Linked DNA regions of Arabidopsis thaliana. The protein of the gene in region 1 binds, or shares a complex with, the protein of each later gene. Each region holds a gene or a part of one and is shown in the gene's direction. Other genes may lie near its edges.

Evidence for each region.
Region 2: TAF6B (region 1) and TAF15 share a complex: the UniProt entries of both Arabidopsis thaliana proteins name them as parts of the TFIID complex.
Region 3: TAF6B (region 1) and TAF7 share a complex: the UniProt entries of both Arabidopsis thaliana proteins name them as parts of the TFIID complex.
Region 4: TAF6B (region 1) and TAF15b share a complex: the UniProt entries of both Arabidopsis thaliana proteins name them as parts of the TFIID complex.

What each region holds. Positions count from the first base shown.
Region 1 is NC_003070.9:20,288,968-20,293,677, forward strand, and holds TAF6B (TBP-ASSOCIATED FACTOR 6B), read left to right. Parts: upstream 1-1,632; coding exon 1,633-1,752; coding exon of another isoform or gene 1,753-1,821; coding exon 1,822-2,069; intron 2,070-2,156; coding exon 2,157-2,263; intron 2,264-2,334; coding exon 2,335-2,411; intron 2,412-2,490; coding exon 2,491-2,628; intron 2,629-2,720; coding exon 2,721-2,816; intron 2,817-2,912; coding exon 2,913-3,037; intron 3,038-3,120; coding exon 3,121-3,253; intron 3,254-3,463; coding exon 3,464-3,589; intron 3,590-3,693; coding exon 3,694-3,805; intron 3,806-3,894; coding exon 3,895-4,193; downstream 4,194-4,710. Other genes in the region: ABCD2 (ABC transporter family protein), read left to right, coding at 12-253, 331-607, 730-980, 1,069-1,278; NHX5 (sodium hydrogen exchanger 5), read right to left, coding at 4,386-4,473, 4,562-4,683. UniProt on the Arabidopsis thaliana protein: TAFs are components of the transcription factor IID (TFIID) complex that is essential for mediating regulation of RNA polymerase transcription. Not redundant with TAF6.
Region 2 is NC_003070.9:18,628,027-18,633,691, reverse strand, and holds TAF15 (TBP-associated factor 15), read left to right. Parts: upstream 1-1,652; 5' UTR 1,653-1,813; intron 1,814-1,991; 5' UTR 1,992-2,029; coding exon 2,030-2,134; exon of another isoform or gene 2,135-2,150; intron 2,151-2,244; coding exon 2,245-2,573; intron 2,574-2,689; coding exon 2,690-2,887; intron 2,888-3,482; coding exon 3,483-3,566; intron 3,567-3,942; coding exon 3,943-4,024; intron 4,025-4,137; coding exon 4,138-4,261; intron 4,262-4,677; coding exon 4,678-4,874; 3' UTR 4,875-5,137; downstream 5,138-5,665. Other genes in the region: AT1G50290 (uncharacterized protein), read left to right, coding at 5,430-5,665. UniProt on the Arabidopsis thaliana protein: TAFs are components of the transcription factor IID (TFIID) complex that is essential for mediating regulation of RNA polymerase transcription.
Region 3 is NC_003070.9:20,627,521-20,631,721, reverse strand, and holds TAF7 (TBP-associated factor 7), read left to right. Parts: upstream 1-2,029; 5' UTR 2,030-2,231; coding exon 2,232-2,346; intron 2,347-2,720; coding exon 2,721-2,854; intron 2,855-2,951; coding exon 2,952-3,071; intron 3,072-3,217; coding exon 3,218-3,568; 3' UTR 3,569-3,699; downstream 3,700-4,201. Other genes in the region: SCL33 (SC35-like splicing factor 33), read right to left, coding at 1-35, 603-680, 904-1,046. UniProt on the Arabidopsis thaliana protein: TAFs are components of the transcription factor IID (TFIID) complex that is essential for mediating regulation of RNA polymerase transcription.
Region 4 is NC_003076.8:23,636,867-23,642,830, reverse strand, and holds TAF15b (TBP-associated factor 15B), read left to right. Parts: upstream 1-1,857; 5' UTR 1,858-1,976; coding exon 1,977-2,163; intron 2,164-2,293; coding exon 2,294-2,387; intron 2,388-2,509; coding exon 2,510-3,143; intron 3,144-3,282; coding exon 3,283-3,433; intron 3,434-3,512; coding exon 3,513-3,591; intron 3,592-4,141; coding exon 4,142-4,265; 3' UTR 4,266-4,383; exon of another isoform or gene 4,384-4,535; 3' UTR 4,536-5,416; downstream 5,417-5,964. Other genes in the region: AT5G58480 (O-Glycosyl hydrolases family 17 protein), read left to right, coding at 5-348, 518-1,604. UniProt on the Arabidopsis thaliana protein: TAFs are components of the transcription factor IID (TFIID) complex that is essential for mediating regulation of RNA polymerase transcription.

The sequences.
Region 1 (4,710 bases):
TTCCAACACAGGTGAATTTGATGATCTTTTGGATAACAACATCTTCAGAGATCCATCTGACACTGTGGACGAGATTGAGCTGACATATCAGAGTGAGATGAACTCTTCACTGCTGGACACCAATGGTTCAATCAAGTCCCAACCGAACCAAAAGCGTCTGGAGATCGAGGAGCTTACTCTTCAGACACCAACAAACGGAACCACATTGGTTCACAACTTATCTGCAGATGTATATGACAAGGATCACCTACTGGTTAGTTCACTTTGACTACTTGTGTTTAAAGCATGTGACTGGTAGATTGGAAGTTACTTAAAAATGCCATTTAACAGATAATGGGTCCTAGTGGGAGTGGAAAAACTTCGCTGCTAAGAGCAATGGCTGGTCTTTGGAGGTCAGGGAAAGGAAAAATCACGTTCTACCTCGATCCTGAGGTAGATTTTACACAGGAGAAATCTGATACTCAGGAAAATTCAGGGAAAAGAGGAGACGTATTGTTCCTTCCACAAAGGCCTTATATGGTTCTGGGATCTTTGCGTCAGCAATTGCTTTATCCTACCTGGAGTGCAACTGTGGAGGAGACGACACCTGGTGGCAGTAATATTGACGGTACTCAGTTTAAATTTGTGTCTAGTAACAACCATTTCTTTCAACTCCATTTAAGTTTATGCAAGCAGATTATAGAACCCAAAAGCAAATCGACTGAAGAAAAAATGCGTTGATTTTGTTAGGTTCACCACCTCTGCTGATTAGAGAGGACGGAAATGAAAAGCCGACAACAGATGATCTGATGCGGACTCTAGAGAAGGTTTGTCTTGGACATATAGCGGATCGCTTTGGTGGTCTTGATTCGATACACGAGTGGTCCAGTGTTCTCTCACTTGGTGAGCAGCAGCGCCTTGCCTTTGCACGGTTATTGCTGTCTCAGCCAAAGCTGGCGCTCCTGGATGAATCCACCAGTGCGTTGGATGAAGCTAATGAGGTACTTGTTGGTTCTCCTCTCATCTATCATTTAGAATAATATCATGTACATGTAGCGTTGAGCCATTAAAATTCCTCTTGATGCCCAGGCGTTCCTGTACCAGCAAATCCAGTCGGCTGGCATTACATATATAAGCATTGGCCACCGCCGGACTTTAACGAAATTCCATAACAAGATCTTACAAATCTCAACGGCAGACCCGAAGAGCAATGAACGTAACTGGCGAATAGAGGACGTGGATGCCCAAGATTCTTTGTACGGTAGATTGAATCAAAAGGAGGTGCCAAGTGAAAGCTGATCAAAACCTGATTGATTACATAAGAGACAGAAGCAGCAGGTAAATCTGCAAACGGGTGTCATGAAACATATAAGAAACATGTTTGGTGTCCATTTTGTATATAATCTACCAGACTTGACGTTGACTGAAGATGCAAGTAAATAGAGAGATTGATACAGATACGAGTGCAACGAAGTTCTGATTAAAAATAACACGCGAGATGAGCTAAAAATTCAAAACCGGCTGAGTATTTATCATAAGCCCAATAAATCTAACGATGGGCCCATTTGAGAAAGCCTGATAGAGTGAGAAAATGTAACACGACTGACTCGACTCAGTCGCTCAAAGTCGAAAAAGAAAGAAGGCGCAAGGAGGATGGTGACGAAAGAATCCATTGAAGTGATAGCTCAGAGCATTGGACTCTCCACTCTTTCTCCGGACGTCTCAGCCGCTCTTGCTCCCGATGTCGAGTATCGCGTCCGAGAGGTCATGCAGGTATATCATCAACTTCAACTTTACTTTTGCCCTCTAATCTCCTCTTTAACTTGTCGTCGCAATCTCCAGGAAGCTATCAAATGCATGCGTCATGCTCGACGCACCACTTTAATGGCTCATGATGTCGATTCTGCTCTTCATTTCAGGAATTTGGAGGTTTCCTCTTCCTCTCTTCTTCTTTTATTTCATACCGTTGACCCTGATTTTGACTTTTTTTTGTATAGCCTACCTCTGGCTCCAAAAGTATGCGGTTCAAGAGAGCTCCTGAGAACAGAGATCTATACTTCTTCGATGACAAAGATGTCGAGCTCAAGAATGTAAGCTTCATTGATTGGCCATGAATGAAGAAGATGGTGAAATGTTGTTTATTGTTATTAAGCTTCCCTTCATGGTCTCTTGTGCAGGTTATCGAAGCTCCTCTACCAAATGCACCTCCTGATGCATCTGTTTTCTCATTGGTTGGCAATTGATGGTATTCAACCTTCCATTCCACAGAATTCTCCTCTCCAAGGTATTTCTTTTGTCTTCTTTTGCATCACCTACTACTTCTCCTTCTAATCCCTCTTCCATGACAATTTGTAGCCATATCTGACCTTAAACGATCGGAATATAAGGACGATGGCTTGGCTGCTAGACAGGTGCTTTCTAAGGACCTTCAGGTTATTTTACTCCCTTCTTTTTTTGGGTCTTTACCTCGCTCTTTGAATGCTATATAATCCTTGCTTGCTCTCGATGCAGATTTACTTTGACAAAGTCACGGAGTGGGCTTTGACTCAATCTGGCTCCACCCTCTTTAGACAAGCACTCGCCAGCTTGGAAATTGATCCTGGACTCCACCCATTAGTTCCCTTTTTCACTTCTTTCATCGCTGAAGAGGTTTGTCTTTGTAATCCAACACTTCTAGTCTTGACTTTTATTCTAACTTGACCACATTTTCACTACTTTTTTTGTGCTTGCAATTTCTCCAGATTGTCAAAAACATGGATAATTATCCAATCTTGTTGGCTTTGATGCGTCTTGCTAGAAGCCTCCTTCATAACCCTCATGTACATATTGAGCCATATGTAAGTTTTGTGCGCACACTTTTTTTTTGTTTTTTTTTGTTTCTCTTCTCCCTTCTCCTCCTTCTGTTGACTTTTAACTTGTTGTATTCTGTTCAGCTGCATCAGTTGATGCCGTCTATTATCACTTGCCTTATTGCCAAGCGCTTAGGAAGAAGGTCATCTGATAATCACTGGGACTTGAGAAACTTCACTGCCAGCACAGTTGCTTCAACGTGCAAAAGGTTAATGTTACATTCTTGCTTTGTGATTTCATGCATCTTATACAACCATATAACTTGCAATCACATTAGTGAACTTTTTACAGGTTTGGACACGTTTATCACAATTTGTTGCCACGTGTCACAAGATCACTGCTTCATACCTTTTTGGACCCAACCAAGGCACTCCCACAACACTATGGGGCAATTCAAGGGATGGTAGCCCTTGGGCTTAATATGGTACTTCCTCTTGATGCTTCTTGATTATCATAACGAAGAGTAGCACTTTAGGTTGTGCGTCTAGAATTTTTACATAAGAAAGCATAAGTTTAAAACTAATAGTAGCATGATCCGACATCCTCGATAAAGTTATTAAACCTGCAATTGAACCTTAAGATATATATCCTTTGGTCGTCCGTAAGTATTTTCTTGCTTTATACCTTTGTCTAGGTTCGCTTTCTTGTTCTCCCAAACCTAGGGCCGTATTTGCTGCTTCTTTTACCTGAAATGGGACTTGAGAAGCAGAAGGAAGAAGCTAAGAGGCATGGGGCTTGGCTTGTTTATGGAGCGTTGATGGTGAGTATGCTTTCTAGTTTGATACAGAAATTAGAAAACTTGTTTGCTTTCAATCTCGTGTTGCAAAACAGGCAGGAGAGCATATAAACTTTAACTTTCCATAGGTGGCAGCTGGTCGATGCCTATATGAACGGCTTAAAACATCTGAGACACTGCTGTCTCCTCCAACTAGCTCTGTCTGGAAGACAAATGGAAAGCTCACCAGCCCCAGGCAAAGTATAAAATCTGGTCTCATTCTTTTTTTTTCTTTTGGCGTTCTAAACACGGAGATACGCGTTCTTAAATAATTTTTTTCTTCGGCCAAGGTAAACGCAAAGCAAGCAGTGACAACTTAACTCATCAACCACCACTGAAGAAGATAGCAGTAGGGGGAATTATACAAATGAGCTCCACACAAATGCAGATGCGCGGAACCACAACAGTCCCTCAACAGTCCCACACAGATGCAGATGCACGGCACCACAATAGTCCCTCAACAATTGCTCCGAAGACTTCAGCTGCTGCAGGCACTGACGTCGACAACTATCTCTTTCCTCTTTTTGAGTATTTTGGTGAGAGCATGCTTATGTTCACCCCCACACATGAGCTCAGTTTCTTCTTGTAATAGATTATTGACATGGTAATTGTATGTACCACAATAAATACATCTATATAATATTTCGAAATGTCTTGGAAATCGTCAACTTTATAGTGGGCATTTTGCGAGAGGTAAAATCAACCAGTGTTAATCTTACATAGACATATGTGTACTCTAATTATAGCTTGGCCTGGACCACAAATACACATCTTTTCCATGCTACTCCCCATCTCCATCTCCATCTCCACTATTAGTTGTGAAGAACGGAGTCAGAAAGTTTTTGTCCAACGCGGTGAATGATGTAGTGCTGCAAAGTTTTGTCAAGTGAGTCCCAAAAAATTGCAAATATCGCTTTTTACTCAGGAAAACATACTAAGCCATTCTCTTATTCTTACGTTTTGTGAAACTCCTTCAGCTTCATCTTGAACCTGCTTCCTGATGATGATGTATCCTCGTCAGATGAAGCTCCAATGCTAAAAGGAGGAGGGACATACTGATGATCGCTCTCTTCAAAGCCCTAACCACGTATCTGGGAGCGTTAGAA
Region 2 (5,665 bases), 1.7 Mb from region 1:
TAATTTATAGATTAATGATGTATTTATTATTTAATTTTACATATTTAATTGTACTAATACTAAATTTATTTTGTTATTAAATGTTTTTCAATAAAATAATTTGATTGATTTTCTCATACTCAAAAGATTTTTTTCTGTAATCTTAACTCAAATTATGAGTGTATAGTAGTCATGGATTAATTAATAGTTTGAATAGTTTGCATATTGTTATATATCTATATAATAAATCGCCGAGGGTGAAGAGTATGTAAGAAGTTTAATCATCAAATTCTTAGGTTTCGAGAATCCCAATATTACCTTCTATTTAATTAGTTTAAGACGAACATTGTTTAGGAATTGTGTGTATAATGCATTGTTGAGAATGTTGTTAGAAAAAATATATTTTAATATTAAGAATAATTACTTATTATATAAGTAAATGATTAGATAATTAAAAATTATATTTAAATTAAACGATACAAAAAATTTAAAAATACCGCAGCGTAGCGCGGGTGATTACCTAGTCATAGTAAAATTAGTAGTGACAGATTTTAAAAAATGACAAGCTTATGCTAGTAACTTTACAAAATAGATAGCATTATATAAATATTTTACTGTAGTATGAGTCAATACTTTTTTAATTATTAATTTAGTCAATATATGTTAGATGCAAATGTATTTTTTTTTATTGACCAATACTTTGGTAGTATAATATTAGTAGTATTAGATATTATTGGCTATAAATAGATTCAACATTGAAACACAAATCATATATATGAAAGAAGACTAACTCTCTCCCACAACTTGACACATAAGCACATGAGAGCTTGCCACCTAGACTTCATAAAATAAGTAATACATAATTAGTAATTAATTCAACATAACAACTAAAATAGGAGAATATAATTAATGAGAACTTGAACCATCACTCTTTCTACATTTTTAATTCAATATATCCTCTTTAATTTTGAGATCCACTTAAGTGGCTAAAGTGATGATAAAATCCAAACATGTTACACATATTCCTGGCCTAAAAATTAGACGATTATTATGAAAGAAACTAAATGAATATGCAGATTAAATATATCTAAGCTTTTCGATATTTATGCTAAGAAAACAGGTAATTTGAAAGATATTTGAGGAGCTATCCTTATAACTAATACGTAAGATATAAGATTATGACAAGAACTTAACTAAACTTTCTAAGAATATCGAGTTGAATATGCTTAGATTGAATATGCAAAGACATGATTAATAAAGACATGTTATATTTTTAGTGTAAGAAATAATTTTTCTAAAATTTCACTGTCTCACAATCTATACATATAACTAAAAAAGCAAGGATATATAAATTCAAAAAAAAACTAAGAATCTAAAACAACAATAAAAAACAACTCAAGCACATTCGTTTTTCAGATGAACTAATATAGTTGGACTTTTCAAAAACAATTACAAAACATATTTATGTTTCAAAACCTATGCATTCAACTTTACTTTATATAAACAGACATTATATAAAACAATTAGTAAATAGTAATACGTAAACCCGCACGTAGTGCGGGTACTCATCTAATTTGTAAATTAATAATTCCTCAATTTGCACCCAAAAAAAGAATTCCTTAACCACGAAAAAAATAAAAAAACAAAATTACAATTTAAGGGGGAAAGTTATATGAAATTGCAAATATAACCACCAAACAAACAATCGACTATCGAGGTTACCCTTAAGAAAATCTTTATTCGCAAGATCTCTCTCTCTCTCTCTCACTCGACGCACTTTAGAAAGAAACCCTAGTCCGACGACCTCTCCTTCGCCGCTGAATCCTCATCGCTGGTCAGATTTCTATCTATCTCGCTCTTCTATGTTTCCCTATCTCGTTGGTCAGATTTCGAATCTTCTTTTTGTTCTCATGGTTTTTGAGCTCAAAACTTTGGGGTTTCAATGTCTCGATGTTATTTCTTAGCGAGGTTTCAATGTTGGCTAAGTGAAGTTTTGGTATTGTCATTTACAGATTCTTGGCGGCTTTCTTTTTGATGAAATTGGATTACGATGGCTGGATATCCTACTAATGGATCAGTCTACGTTTCAAATCTCCCCTTAGGAACTGACGAGAATATGTTGGCTGACTATTTTGGGACCATTGGGTTGCTTAAGGTATGGTATTGGCCAGGTACTAATTGTTGCTTTTGTTTTGACGTCATTGCAATCTTTTATAGGTCACTAGATTTTCGAGTTTCTTACATTTTTTTCTACATTGCTTTTAGAGAGACAAACGAACTGGTACTCCTAAGGTATGGCTGTACCGGGATAAAGAAACTGATGAGCCCAAGGGAGATGCTACTGTTACCTATGAGGATCCGCATGCTGCTTTGGCTGCTGTTGAATGGTTCAATAACAAAGATTTTCATGGAAACACCATTGGAGTTTTTATGGCCGAGTCGAAGAATAAAAATGCTGGTGATGCAGTTGAGTTTGTTGAATTCGATGGAGGTGCTGAGGAAACAAATGGAGGTGCTGGAAGGGGGAGGGGTCAGGCTGATTCTTCGGCAAAGCCATGGCAGCAAGATGGTGACTGGATGTGCCCTAATACAAGGTCTGTGATGTGATATCGGTGAGGAGCTTCATCTAGCTCTTGTTTCCGTTAATTTGCTAGTTTTTATATATTTTATAGTTTCTAGCAGTAGTGTTCTCATACTCTTTCATTGGCAGTTGTACAAATGTGAATTTTGCATTCCGTGGGGTTTGTAACCGCTGTGGAACTGCTAGACCAGCTGGTGCATCTGGTGGCAGCATGGGTGCTGGTCGTGGAAGGGGTCGAGGTGGAGGCGCTGATGGTGGGGCCCCGGGGAAGCAGCCCAGTGGTGCTCCTACTGGTCTCTTTGGTCCAAATGATTGGGCTTGTCCAATGTAAGCATTCCGATTAGGTTTGAAATAGTTAGTTCAGTTTCAGAGGATAATGAGCGTTTGGTACTTGATTAAAACACATCGCAAGAAACAATTTATATTCAGTAGCAAAAGAGAACATTCAGATGGCATATAGCGTTGCTGGATATAAAATTAATTTGTCTTATGTATGGAAGGAATATAGCTTGTATATCAATGCTTTTGATGATGTCAGTTGACTCTTTACTTAGAAAGAAGTGATGGCCCGCTCTGCTGTGCTGTGTCTCTTAAACTGGTCCAAATTATGTGTGGAGGCACATATTTTTTCCTTCTTTTTTGAATGTTGATTCTAATTTCGTAATTTTCCTTCAGATGGCTGTTAATCTGAAAAATGTAATTTGAAACGTGGGTAGGTTGTAGTCTTGATCCTTCTAAGAAGTTATATTTGTGAAGATAGGCTGCCTTCAATTTTCTGTGTCTGATACAAAAAATGGACTATGTTTTAGTTTAATTGCAAGTTATGCTATGTGTCATCGAGTAGCTTAACTAAGAGGCTGCACTGTGTGAATGTGAGTTCTTATGCATAATGCACTTTTTCTTTTTGCGCTAATTCTTTCAGGTGTGGCAATGTCAACTGGGCGAAACGTCTAAAATGTAATATCTGCAACACCAATAAACCTGGTCAGAATGAAGGTGGTGTGAGGTATGACTCAAAGCCAGTGATAAGATTGCCTTTGTATTGTTATCTTGCAATGTTCGAGCTGAGGATTTGGATTATAAATGATTTTACAGTGAATGTAGGAGAGGTCGTAGATTTTCTGTTCGATGTTTGTAGTTTTGTTGTCAGCAGGGTATATTTATTCTGCTTTTAGACAGGGCCTAATAGATACCTGGGAAAAAGTCTCAATACTCTCTTCTGCAATTTGAACGAGTGCTTGTTTTCTTCGACAATTGATTTATCCCACTTGTAATGTTTTATTTTGGCCAAATTAGAGTTGCATTAAGAAACATTAAGGTTTGAGTTTGGAAGGTTGTTTTTATCTAGACCAGTGCTTATTCATTTTTTTTTCTCTAAATAGGGGAGGCCGTGGTGGTGGTTACAAGGAATTAGATGAACAAGAATTAGAGGAAACGAAGAGACGCAGGCGTGAGGCTGAAGAAGTAAGATATGCTTTTCCTGAAGAGTTCTTTGTTTTTTGTTTTTTTGTTGCAATTCGGATGAGCTCTCAGTTTTTTGTATATTCCATTTGACTTATACGTCTAATATATTTCAGGATGATGGTGAAATGTATGATGAGTTTGGGAATCTAAAGAAGAAGTACCGTGTTAAAACAAACCAAGCTGACACCAGACCTGCTGTTGCTGCTGGTCGTGCTGGGTGGGAAGTCGAGGAACTAGGTAAGTTCTGTTTAATTTTAACTAATATGAACTAAATCTATGCAATCATCAAATAGGTTGAGCTTATGAACAGAACCTTTCCACTATAATAGAGATTTATTTGGCTCGATCTATATCTACTCTCTGTGTATAGTCTTCAAAGAAAGTTTCTGCTTGTCATCTAGACACTTGAGTGAAACTTAACATATATGCGGGGAGGGATTTGTTTGAAATTTTACATTAAGCTTGCAGCTAACTTGCCTATAGCCCAAGCCTAGTGGGGATCTCCAATAAACAGTGTTGTTCCTTGTTAGAGTTTTCTTCTTTTCACTGAATAGATATAGAGGAAGATAGAAAAGAATGTTTATTGCTGCTTCCCCAAAAATAGAAAGGTCATGATCCAATGTAGTTGTTCATAATTTATATGAATGTGGCAGGTATTGATAAAGATGGAAGAGAGAGAAGCAGAGACAGGCAAAGAGACCGTGGTAGAGATCATCACTACGATAAGGATAGACGCAGAAGCAGAAGCCGAGAGAGGGAAAGAGGCAAGGAGCGTGACTATGACTATGACCATGATCGGGACAGAGACAGAGACTACGGTCGCGAACGTGGAAGCAGGTACCGTAACTGAGAGATTACTCATAAGTGTTAGGGTTTAGTTTCTCATCTGTTTTGTCGACTTACTTTTACAACGGTATCATTACAATGTCTTCGCCTTTTGTTTACTTATTGTGTGAAGTGAAACTCATTTTGGTTTGAATCAATGGCTATTGTTTTTCACTTGTTTTGGTCTGATTATGTTCTGAGAATACTCCATGTTTATCGTTTCGAAAATTGGTAATTATGGCAAAACATGGTTAGCGACGTCAATTGCTAATTTAGACGTGTATTAAGTATTATTTTGTCTTTTGTAGTATTATTTTTAGTTGTCCCTTTGTTTTTTTTTCCATCGCCAATCATTTCATCGCTGTATGATTTTAATGGGAATAAAAAAAATAGAACAAGAAGATTTTTGTGGACAATATAGTTTCTGAAACTATAATAGGATAAGAAAAAATTAAGCTTATTTGTGGGGATATATATTAATGTCATATCATTGTCATAAACATGGTCGGCAAAACTTGGGACGGCAGTTTACCAGAATAATCCGGTCGACAGAATTCAACAGTTCCTCTCTCTAAAAGATATGAAGGAGATTAATTTTGGCTTTGTTAGCAAAGATGGCCGGTCCTCTTCTGGCAAATCCGGCTTTTACAAGCGGTTTTGGCCGGCTTTTATCCTTCCTCCGCCGTTCGATCGGTTGTTCTTACCGATTGCTTTAGTTTCTTTTTCAGTTTTTCTTTCAATAATTTCTAAAGATTTCAATTGGAGATTAATTTTAGGTCATAATAGCCTAAGATTAAGTTTTCGGATTTGTATCTT
Region 3 (4,201 bases), 340 kb from region 1:
TGCTAGCCTTGCAAGTGTCAGTACAAAGATGACTTCTTGAAGACTTGATTCATCTTCACATAGAATACAAACTCAACTTCACTTCAATTCTTCACTACCATATAGAACATCTTCATAAGAACTCTAATTACTTCTTTGATGTCTTCAATTCTTTAGATTCACTGCTAAACCTCAACAACTTCAATTAACTCACTCATAGTGTGTTCAGACATGGAACATATCATCATGTATCCTTTTCCTTAAGCGACTAAAAACTATGAGGTCTCACCAGGTACTAAATTCTAAACGACTAATCCACCTAACGACACCGAAAACTAGTGGTTTAAGACCACAAGTATGCTCACTGTCTATTGTCATGTCACAGAAAATTACTATCTGAAAAATATGGAGCCTAAATTTAATTTATGAAATCAGTTTTTAAGAAGATTCTCATAAGGCCCTAGTATCCATGAGAAGACACAAAGAGATGACCGAAAGAAAAAGGAAAGGCAGATAAACGTAGTAAACAAATCAAGAAAGAAGATGTGAAAATAGGGATATTTTCTAATCAGAACATAAGTAAAAATCAAGTGTTGGTTGTCCTATTTACAAAACATGCTCACCCGGTATAATAATCCCTTGGCAGGTAAATGTCCTTGACAGGACCAAACTGCTCAAACGACTTCCTGAGATCTTCTTGCCTGAAGAAAAGGACAAGGAGTAAGAAGAGAATTACAATTTGCTAAAAGCCAAGAAATGAAGATACATTGACGTCAACTTTTTGAAAACCTTTACAGTAAAGATAAGAGAACATCATGCCAAAATATGCTAAGAGGTGTCAAGTCTTCTTGCTTAAGAGGTGTGCAAACAATAACATCATCCACAATGGCTGAAGAAAATAATAGAGAAGTCAAAAGTATGTACCTGCAATCATGGCGTAGATTGCGAACCAAAAGACTGGTCGGGAGGTCCCTGCTACGACCTCCATATCGGCCTCTAGGGCTTGGGCTTCGACCCCTCCTCCCATAACCCCTAGGTGGTGACGGAGTGTAGCTCCTTCCCCTCATTGAGTCAAGCTTCAATCTCTCTATCAGTCAGTCAACACAAACTAGATTAGAAAATACACCAAAAGAGGTTGGATATTTAAGAGAGAAGAGACCACAAACACAAGAGCTATAACACCAGCGTCTAAGAGAACTTTAAAGAAGCAATCAATCTAGAAAGATCATATTTTCTAATTGAATAGTAAATTATATCAAAATAAGATCACATGCAATTCAGGTAGAGATCGAATCAGCTCAATTTCAAAAGATAGGAGCTAAGAAACGTTATATGTGAATAGGCACAAAAGATCACAACTTTCGTCAAACTTACTTAAGATGAACGATTCAATCCTTTATATCGATGTATAGACATAATAATTGCCTGATCTACAGTTTTTTCCGTCACGGGATCTTTCACCGGACTCAAAAAGTTGTACGGGCAACGAAGTTGTTTACAATTGAAGGAATCGAAGTCGGAAAAGCCAAGTTTATTCGACAGAGAAAGAAGAAGATACGGGTATATACGGTTGGGAAGAAGAGCAAAATATCAGGGATAAGACTTACCGGTGAACGAATCTCGGTGGTGAGGAACGACGGAGAAGTGATGCTGCAAGAATTGGAGAAGATTGATCAATGAACGACTTATTTATTAGGGTTTCTTTATATTATTTACGTTTTACATTTAACCCCCTCAAAATTATTTTAAAGTATTAAAATCCCCTTAAAGTTTTCTATTTGATAGATGCTCCATTCCAATTTCTGGTAATTAAATTATCTTCCTTTTTATTATCATTATACATTTATACTTAGTGAGATCAATTATCTAAGAGGAACTAAAAATGTAAAATTCAATAGAATTAAATAGCAAATTGGTGATTTTTCACCAATTGTTGGGTTCTGTTTGTACCTTTTATAATTATTTTGGTCAAAACATAAATCTTGAAACCTTTAGGGAGGGAAATAAAATAATAAATTGTTAAAAGGATACTTCTAGAAGGTTTATCTTATAATGTCTCTCTCTCTCTCTCTCTCTCTCTCTCTCTCTAACATAACAAAGAATTCGTGTTTCAGTTCAATAGATTCTCGTCTCTTTTCGACTTACGACATCAACAGACCGAAGTATACGTATTCGATACGATCTGCGTTCGCGAATTCACGTTTCTGGATTGATTAAGAAGAAGAATTCAAGTCAAGCTGTTGGTATCTACAATGGAAGAACAGTTCATACTTAGGGTTCCACCGTCTGTTTCAGAACGAATTGATCGGCTTTTAAGCGAGGATGCTTCTACTTCCGACGAAATCCCTTTGGATTTGTTTTTTTCAGGTACCAATTTTTAAAGGGTTTCTCTCTTTTTTGGCACATTACATCTGGGTTAAAGTTTCATCCTTTTTCTTAAATTTATGTCCTTTAGTCGTCAATCAATGAAATTAGTGTCTGGATCGTTTCGGGGATTGCTCCTTGTGTCACGTGATGAGTTCTTGAATGTTGGTTTGCCCAAAAGACATTCTTGAATCTGATTAAGGATCAAAGCTTGTGATTTGTGTCTCCTGGATCAGCTTAATGTTGTGAATTGTCTGTTTTGTCAAAGAAGCCAAAAGACATTCTTGTTGCATCATTATAGTTTGTCTAGAAATCCATTTGCATATTGTCTCTGGAGCAAACTTGATACGTAATGTTTGTGTGAACTGAATTTGCAGAGGATGGGAGAAACGGGACGTTTATGATTGGAAACGACGAGTTCCCGGCTTCTCTGCTTGATCTCCCTGCAGTTGTTGAGTCTTTTAAAACTTATGATGATTGTGCATTAGTCAAAACTGCTGATATTGGGCAGGTAAAATCAAGTTACTTGATTCATCTTTTACTTATATGCGTTAACTTCTGTAATTTTGGACTAAAACTCAATATGGATGCTTTGATTTGGCACACAGATGATCATGGTTAGGGAGCCTGGTGATCCTGCGCCTAATACAGTTGAATACAGACATGGTCTAACTCCTCCAATGAAGGATGCTCGAAAGAGGAGATTTCGTCGAGAGCCTGACCTTAATGTAATTTTCATTTGTTGTTATCTATCCATCAACATTGTTTCACTAATACTTGTGATTATGATTGAAAGTCTGTAGTGAAACGTATCTTTTGGAACTCCAAAGTTCTTTCTATTAAGTTAACATATTGATTTGCCAAAATGTTGCAGCCGGAGCTTGTACAGCGGGTTGAGAGAGACTTGTTGAATATATTGAGTGGCGGAACGGTAGAAAATGTAAGCTTTTCTTTCTATTTTCGACACATGATGTGTCTATATTTGCTCCTTGGATTTAGTAACTTCATTTATTTGAACTTTTTTTGGTGTAGGTACATGAGCAAGAGGAACCAGCTACGAACGAGAATGCTAGTAATGCAAGTAAGAAAGTATCTTCTTCTTCACCTACACCTGTTGAAAAGCCTGAAGCTCCTGAGACAGGCACTAGTAATCCAACAGGAGTTGAACCGGAGAGAAGTGAATCAGAAGATTCTGATGATTCAATGTGAGTTTATTATTATATAAAGAGATTTTTCTTACGAAAGCTTAGAGTTTGCGCAAGTCCTGTCTTAGAAAATCATGGATAATTATGTCCCCATGATTTGATGATGTCTTGTTCGACCTTTTTCAATGGAAAAGTTGTTTTGCGTTCAAACTACACCAAAGATTCTGTTTATTCTAGTTCAATTTCGGTTATTTCTTGAAGACAGTTTCAGGAATGAACCAAAGATTGATAGTAAAAGAAAAACCTTAGACTTAAAGAACAAGAACCAAGACATTGTTGATGCTAAACCTATCAAAAGCTGGAATCTAATCCAAACACCAACCATCGCCTTCATTAAACTTTAAGGTTTTTCTTCCGGGTCATTTTCTACAATGCCAAGAATAAGAAAAGAAAATTGACACTCTGCCTAGAAATTGAGATTCTAATTATCGGTCCCTCCATTTTCTATCCTGAATAGTGAATACGTGCAACCATGTCTACCTTTCATTACATACACAATTATGAATTATGTCATTTTTCAAACAAAACAACCCGAAGCTAAAACAAATGTGTAGAGCCTCGTAAGTAGTTGCCGTCACGATCTTCCTCTTCATCTTCTTCGTGTTCTTTCTATAAATTCTTTTTAGTCTTTGTATCAAGAAGCTTCCACAGCT
Region 4 (5,964 bases), on another chromosome or scaffold:
TTTGATGGCTCGTCGGCTGTTTCTCCTCCTCCTCGCCGTCACGGCAGGGTTGAGCTTGACGGGAACAACCGTCAGAGCAGTTGGCATAAATTGGGGGACAGAAGCGTCGCACCCTCTTCCGCCTTCAAAGGTTGTAGAGCTTCTGAAATCAAACGGCATTGTCAAAGTGAAGCTCTTCGATGCCGACCCAAAAGTTCTCCGAGCTCTCTCTGGTTCTAATATTGGTGTCACTATCGGAATCCAAAATTCGATGCTCAAGAGCTTGAATGCATCCGTAAAGGTAGCAGAGAGCTGGGTACATGACAATGTCACTCGTTACTTCAACGGTGGAAACAGAGTTCGAATCGAGTATCTTCTTTCTCCTTCTCTTCTGCTTATCCAGTTATATATATATAGATTTAAGATTTTTAAGCTGGAATTTAACTTATGGAATGTGAATGAGTCGGATTTGTTTCAATGCCAAATTGCCAATCTTCTTATTGTGAAATTATCATTAAAGAAAAGAATTGATTTTCAGGTATGTAGCAGTTGGAGAAGAGCCATTTCTCCAGAGCTATGGCAATCAGTATAAGCCTTTTGTGATTGGGGCAGCTATGAATATCCAAAATGCTTTAGTTAAGGCGAACTTGGCAAATGAAGTGAAGGTTGTAGTCCCCTCAAGCTTTGATTCCTTTCTTTCTGAATCTGGTCGACCTTCTTCAGGACACTTTAGGGCTGACCTCAACAAGACGATGATTGAACTCCTCTCCTTTCTCACAAAGCACCACTCTCCTTTTTTTGTGACAATCTCTCCTTTCCTAAGCTTTCACCAGAACAAGAACATCTCCCTTGACTTTAGCCTCTTTAAAGAAACAGCAAAGGCTCACAAAGACGGACGTAAAACCTACAGAAACAGCTTTGATCTAAGCTATGACACACTTGTCTCTGCATTGTTCACAATTGGGTTTTCGGAGGTGGATATCGTTGTGTCAAAGATCGGTTGGCCTACAGATGGAGCAGAAAATGCAACATCACTGACTGCTGAGGCGTTCTTTAAAGGACTGATAGTTCACTTGGAGAAAAAGACGGCCTCTCTCCCGCGTCCTCCTGTTGAAACCTACATTGAAAGTCTCTTGGACGAAGATCAGAGAAACTTATCTGCTGGGAACTTTGAGAGGCACTGGGGAGTGTTCACTTTCGACGGTCAAGCCAAATACAATTTCAGTTTCAACCATAAGAATCAGGTAAACGCGCAGAATGTTCAGTACCTTCCTCCTAAGTGGTGTGTGGTGAACAATAACAAGGACTTGTCAAACGCGTCAGCAAGAGCATTAGAAGCGTGTGCTGTTGCGGACTGTACATCGATACTTCCTGGCGGGTCGTGTTCAGGCATCAGATGGCCAGGCAACGTTTCATACGCGTTCAATAGCTTGTACCAGCAAAATGATCACAGTGCAGAAAGCTGCAACTTTGGTGGACTTGGTTTGATCACTACTGTTGATCCTTCTGAGGATAATTGCCGGTTCTCGATTCAACTTGACACTTCTCATTCATCTTCGCAAACTCCAAATTTCTTTCAGAGCTGGCCTCTCCTCTTATTGTTCCTACTGTCCGGACTCTTTTAAAGTTGTAGTTATAGCAAAATTTTGGTGGATTTTGCCTCTAATTTCTCTCTAATAGCCACATTTCAAAACTGTATTGGGCTACGTAAAAAATAACTGTTATTGGGCTGGGCCTTCGTAAAGGTTAGATGATTATGGGCCTTAGAACCATGTTGTCTTATTTGATAAAAAAAGCAAGTCCAGTTATTTTGGGAAACCGGTCGGTAAAAGATAAGATGTAAAAGAATTTAAGATTTAAGATAAATGCAATAATAAAGTTCCACTATTTTTGAGAGAAATATAAATAAAACGCGAGATTTTTTATTCTACGTCTAAAAAGGCTCTCACACGATTCGTTAAGAGTTTTGGTCTGTTGTTTATCGCAAACCCTAGGTCATGGCTGGGATGTACAATCAAGACGGCGGCGGAGGTGCGCCTATTCCGTCGTACGGTGGTGATGGATACGGCGGAGGGGGAGGTTATGGAGGTGGTGATGCTGGATATGGTGGACGCGGTGCCTCTGGCGGAGGTAGTTACGGCGGACGCGGTGGTTACGGTGGAGGCGGTGGTAGAGGAAATCGAGGTTTGTGATTTAGATTGTTGCAGATCTGATTGATATAACCTTATGATTCTTTAGATTTCTCCATTCCTTGCTGAGCTACTTTTGTTAAATCTTTAGTTTCTCACTATTTCGATGATTCGTTTTGATTTAGGCGGTGGAGGTGGTGGATATCAAGGAGGTGATCGCGGTGGAAGAGGAAGTGGCGGCGGAGGCAGAGATGGAGATTGGCGTTGTCCCAACCCCAGGTAATGATTGCAAATTATTTGGGATTCCATTCTTTCTGCATATGTAATGAATTGAATTAGCTGTTGAATTCCTTTGTGGGAGCATGTTTTGAAATTGTTTACCCTCGAAACTGTTTGTATAGTTGTGGGAACGTGAACTTTGCAAGGAGAGTTGAATGTAACAAGTGTGGTGCACTTGCTCCTTCTGGTACTAGTTCTGGTGCTAATGATCGTGGAGGTGGTGGATATAGCCGAGGTGGAGGTGACAGTGATCGTGGGGGTGGTCGTGGTGGTAGAAACGATAGTGGTAGGAGCTATGAGAGTAGTAGATATGATGGTGGAAGTAGGAGTGGTGGTAGCTATGGTAGTGGTAGTCAGAGGGAAAATGGTTCGTATGGTCAGGCTCCTCCTCCTGCTGCAGCTATTCCATCCTACGATGGTTCTGGAAGTTATCCTCCACCCACGGGTTATGGAATGGAAGCTGTTCCCCCGCCTACAAGCTATTCTGGTGGCCCGCCGTCATATGGTGGTCCACGAGGGGGTTATGGCAGTGATGCACCGAGCACTGGTGGTCGTGGTGGTAGGAGTGGCGGCTATGATGGTGGTAGTGCTCCTCGACGGCAGGAAGCTAGTTATGAAGATGCAGCTACTGAAAAAGTCAAGCAGTGCGATGCTGATTGTGATGATAATTGTGATAATGCTAGAATATACATCTCTAATTTACCTCCGGATGTGACAACTGATGAACTCAAGGATCTCTTTGGTGGCATTGGCCAAGTAATAACACTGGTCTTTTACTTCTGTTGTGTTTTATATCTTGGAATAAGCCTTTCCCTTGCTATAAGTTATTAAGTTCTTGTTTGTGTACATGTTTATTGGTGTGCTGATAAAGTGTGTCTGGTTGGATCTATTTTAGGTTGGAAGAATTAAGCAGAAGCGTGGTTACAAAGATCAGTGGCCCTATAATATTAAGATTTACACTGATGAGAAGGGTAACTATAAAGGTGACGCCTGTCTGGCTTATGAAGATCCCAGCGCTGCACACTCTGCAGGCGGCTTTTTCAACAGTATGTACTATGGAATTGCTGTCTAGCTTAAAATTGTTTAAAAGTTCTGTTTCGTGAATGGTGGTGGATTGTTTTGTAGATTACGAAATGAGGGGGAACAAGATTAGTGTAACGATGGCAGAAAAGTCTGCGCCCCGTGCTCCTACCTTTGACCAGAGGTAGCTGTCCTGATCATTTATCAGCATTCTTTTTTGTTACCATTTAGCTGTTACCACCTGCTCCATCTTATAGGTGTTTGTACTCTAGTTGTTTTAGGCTTTTAGCTTTATAATTTTAGTAGGGAATATGAGTTTTTGCAATGCTAAGTTTATGTTCCTTGTCTCTGAAGACTGTTTGGATCTTGTATCCTACTGGGGATTTGCTTTGTACACTCATCTGGGTATGACAGAAAGGGTTGGGAGTTCGTATGTCATCAAATTATGCCTTAGGTCTATGTTCATGCCATAGGAAATAAATCTATGTAGTTATCTTGTAACCTATAGCTGTGGCTGCTCTTGGTTGTGAAGAGATCTGTTGTTTGTTCATGCTTCTTATAAGCTCCTAGTAATTCCCCATATAAGTTGTATCTTTATCTGGTTTTCCATGCTCTATAAGACTCGTCTTTGTTGTGTGTTGAGTCACTTCATCTTACGTAGTAAGCTGGTTTTAATTAGAGATGTCTGTGTCTGATCTAATAATGTTGTCCTTGCAAACTTGTGAATGTCGCAGAGGTGGGGGTAGAGGAGGAGGAGGTGGTGGCTATGGTGGTGGTGGGGGAGACAGAAGAAGAGACAACTACAGTTCAGGGCCAGACAGAAACCACCATGGGGGAAACCGGTCTCGTCCATATTGAGAGAAAGAGAGGAATGAATGAATCAGCTGTTATGTGTTCTAAGAGTTTTGTGTGTGTTAAGGAGGGAATTTTAGTAAAATGTTCTATGAATCCTCATATTGGAGATACAAAAAAAGAGGTAGGTTTTTGTTCACTTTGACCTTGAGCAAAATTACCCCTTTTTTCTCCCTACTTGTTCTGTTTCTTTGGGGATCTATTATTCATGCATCTCCGGTTTATTTTTAGTTTGTTTTTCACGATGTGAAATGTTTGTTTTTTGTTTTATTGAAGGAAGCTGATATTTAACTGCAAAATGCATTGCAAATTGGTGCTATGATGATTTCAGGTGAGTGCATTCATCTTGATTACTTCTTTCAACACCAGAAGTCCCTTTTTTGCTTCTCTTCCTTCTTTTTTTGACTCTGTTCAACACAAACAAAACAGTCGTATGTTTTCATGTTGTATTGTGTAATGCATTCATTTAGGCAACCACACTTCTCTTTACAATTTTCGGAGTTGTTATCGTTTTTTCTCGCAAACTTCTTTTATAGCAACATGTGTTCCTCGAGAATTGGCAGGAGTGGGGGATGGCTAGGCACTTGTGTCTGATCAGTTGATCTGAAGTATGCAGTGACCTTTCAAAGATCAACTTGATGATTTTATTGCCAACTTCACTCACTGGGGCTATGATTAGGATTAGGGTTTTACAAATGAGTGGCCTTTTTTTGGATAAAAGACGTTGTTAATAAATAGTTAATCGTTCAATCTGGATCCCAAGGACTAAAGAGAAGGGTGTCTCGTAAAGTTCTCTATGTGTATATGTCATGACCTTTTGGTCAAGTGCCGGATTGGCCAACTCTTTAATGTGTTACATGTAACGAAAGTTTATGTTGAAATTATAGGAACAAAAAAGACTAATGCCGAAAATCCCAAGAGAAAGTTTATTAATGACTTGTTGTGTAGAAAATATGGACGAGAGAAAGAATCCAGGAAATTTGGAATCCTGTAACATTAGTTTCAAGATTCCCATTCTCAATTCGACAAAGAGAATCCATCTTCTAACATTGCATATTCACAGCTCAATCGCTGGCTGGCTCTAGCACACGGCGATATTACTTATTTACCATCCCTTTCACACACATATTGGATAATATACATATTCTTAATAAAAGTCCACCAGTAGTCTTAAGCATAAATTTACAAAAAAAAAAAAAAAAAAAAAAAGTAAGGCAGTAACAATGTAATTCTAACAAACTGCTTAGATGTGTGAAATCCAGATATTTGTAAGTTGTAACTTGTAAGACCACACTATTTAATACTTAATGTGTTCTTAACCTCAAATTGACAATACCTGCGATTTTTCTCACTTTCGACACAATTTTCTATATGATTTGAACTTCAACAATTCTATATAAAAAAAGGTAAAATATTTACATGCAAATAATAAACTTACCCATTACCATATCTTGTATACAAGAAGCTAAACGAAGGAGGGAATGAAGTAGGAATCACATATAAGCAAGAAGAAGCTATGGAACTCAGGATGGATAGCGCCAACAGATATACATGTACGCATATACAAAACATACAGCACTGGTGAGCCATGGCGCTATCCCTCCTGAGCTTTATAGCTATTTCTCTACTACTCAATCTGAAATTTACATCCATAGGTATGCATCTTCCTTTACATATGTGTTATAATGTATCATGTATGTTATAT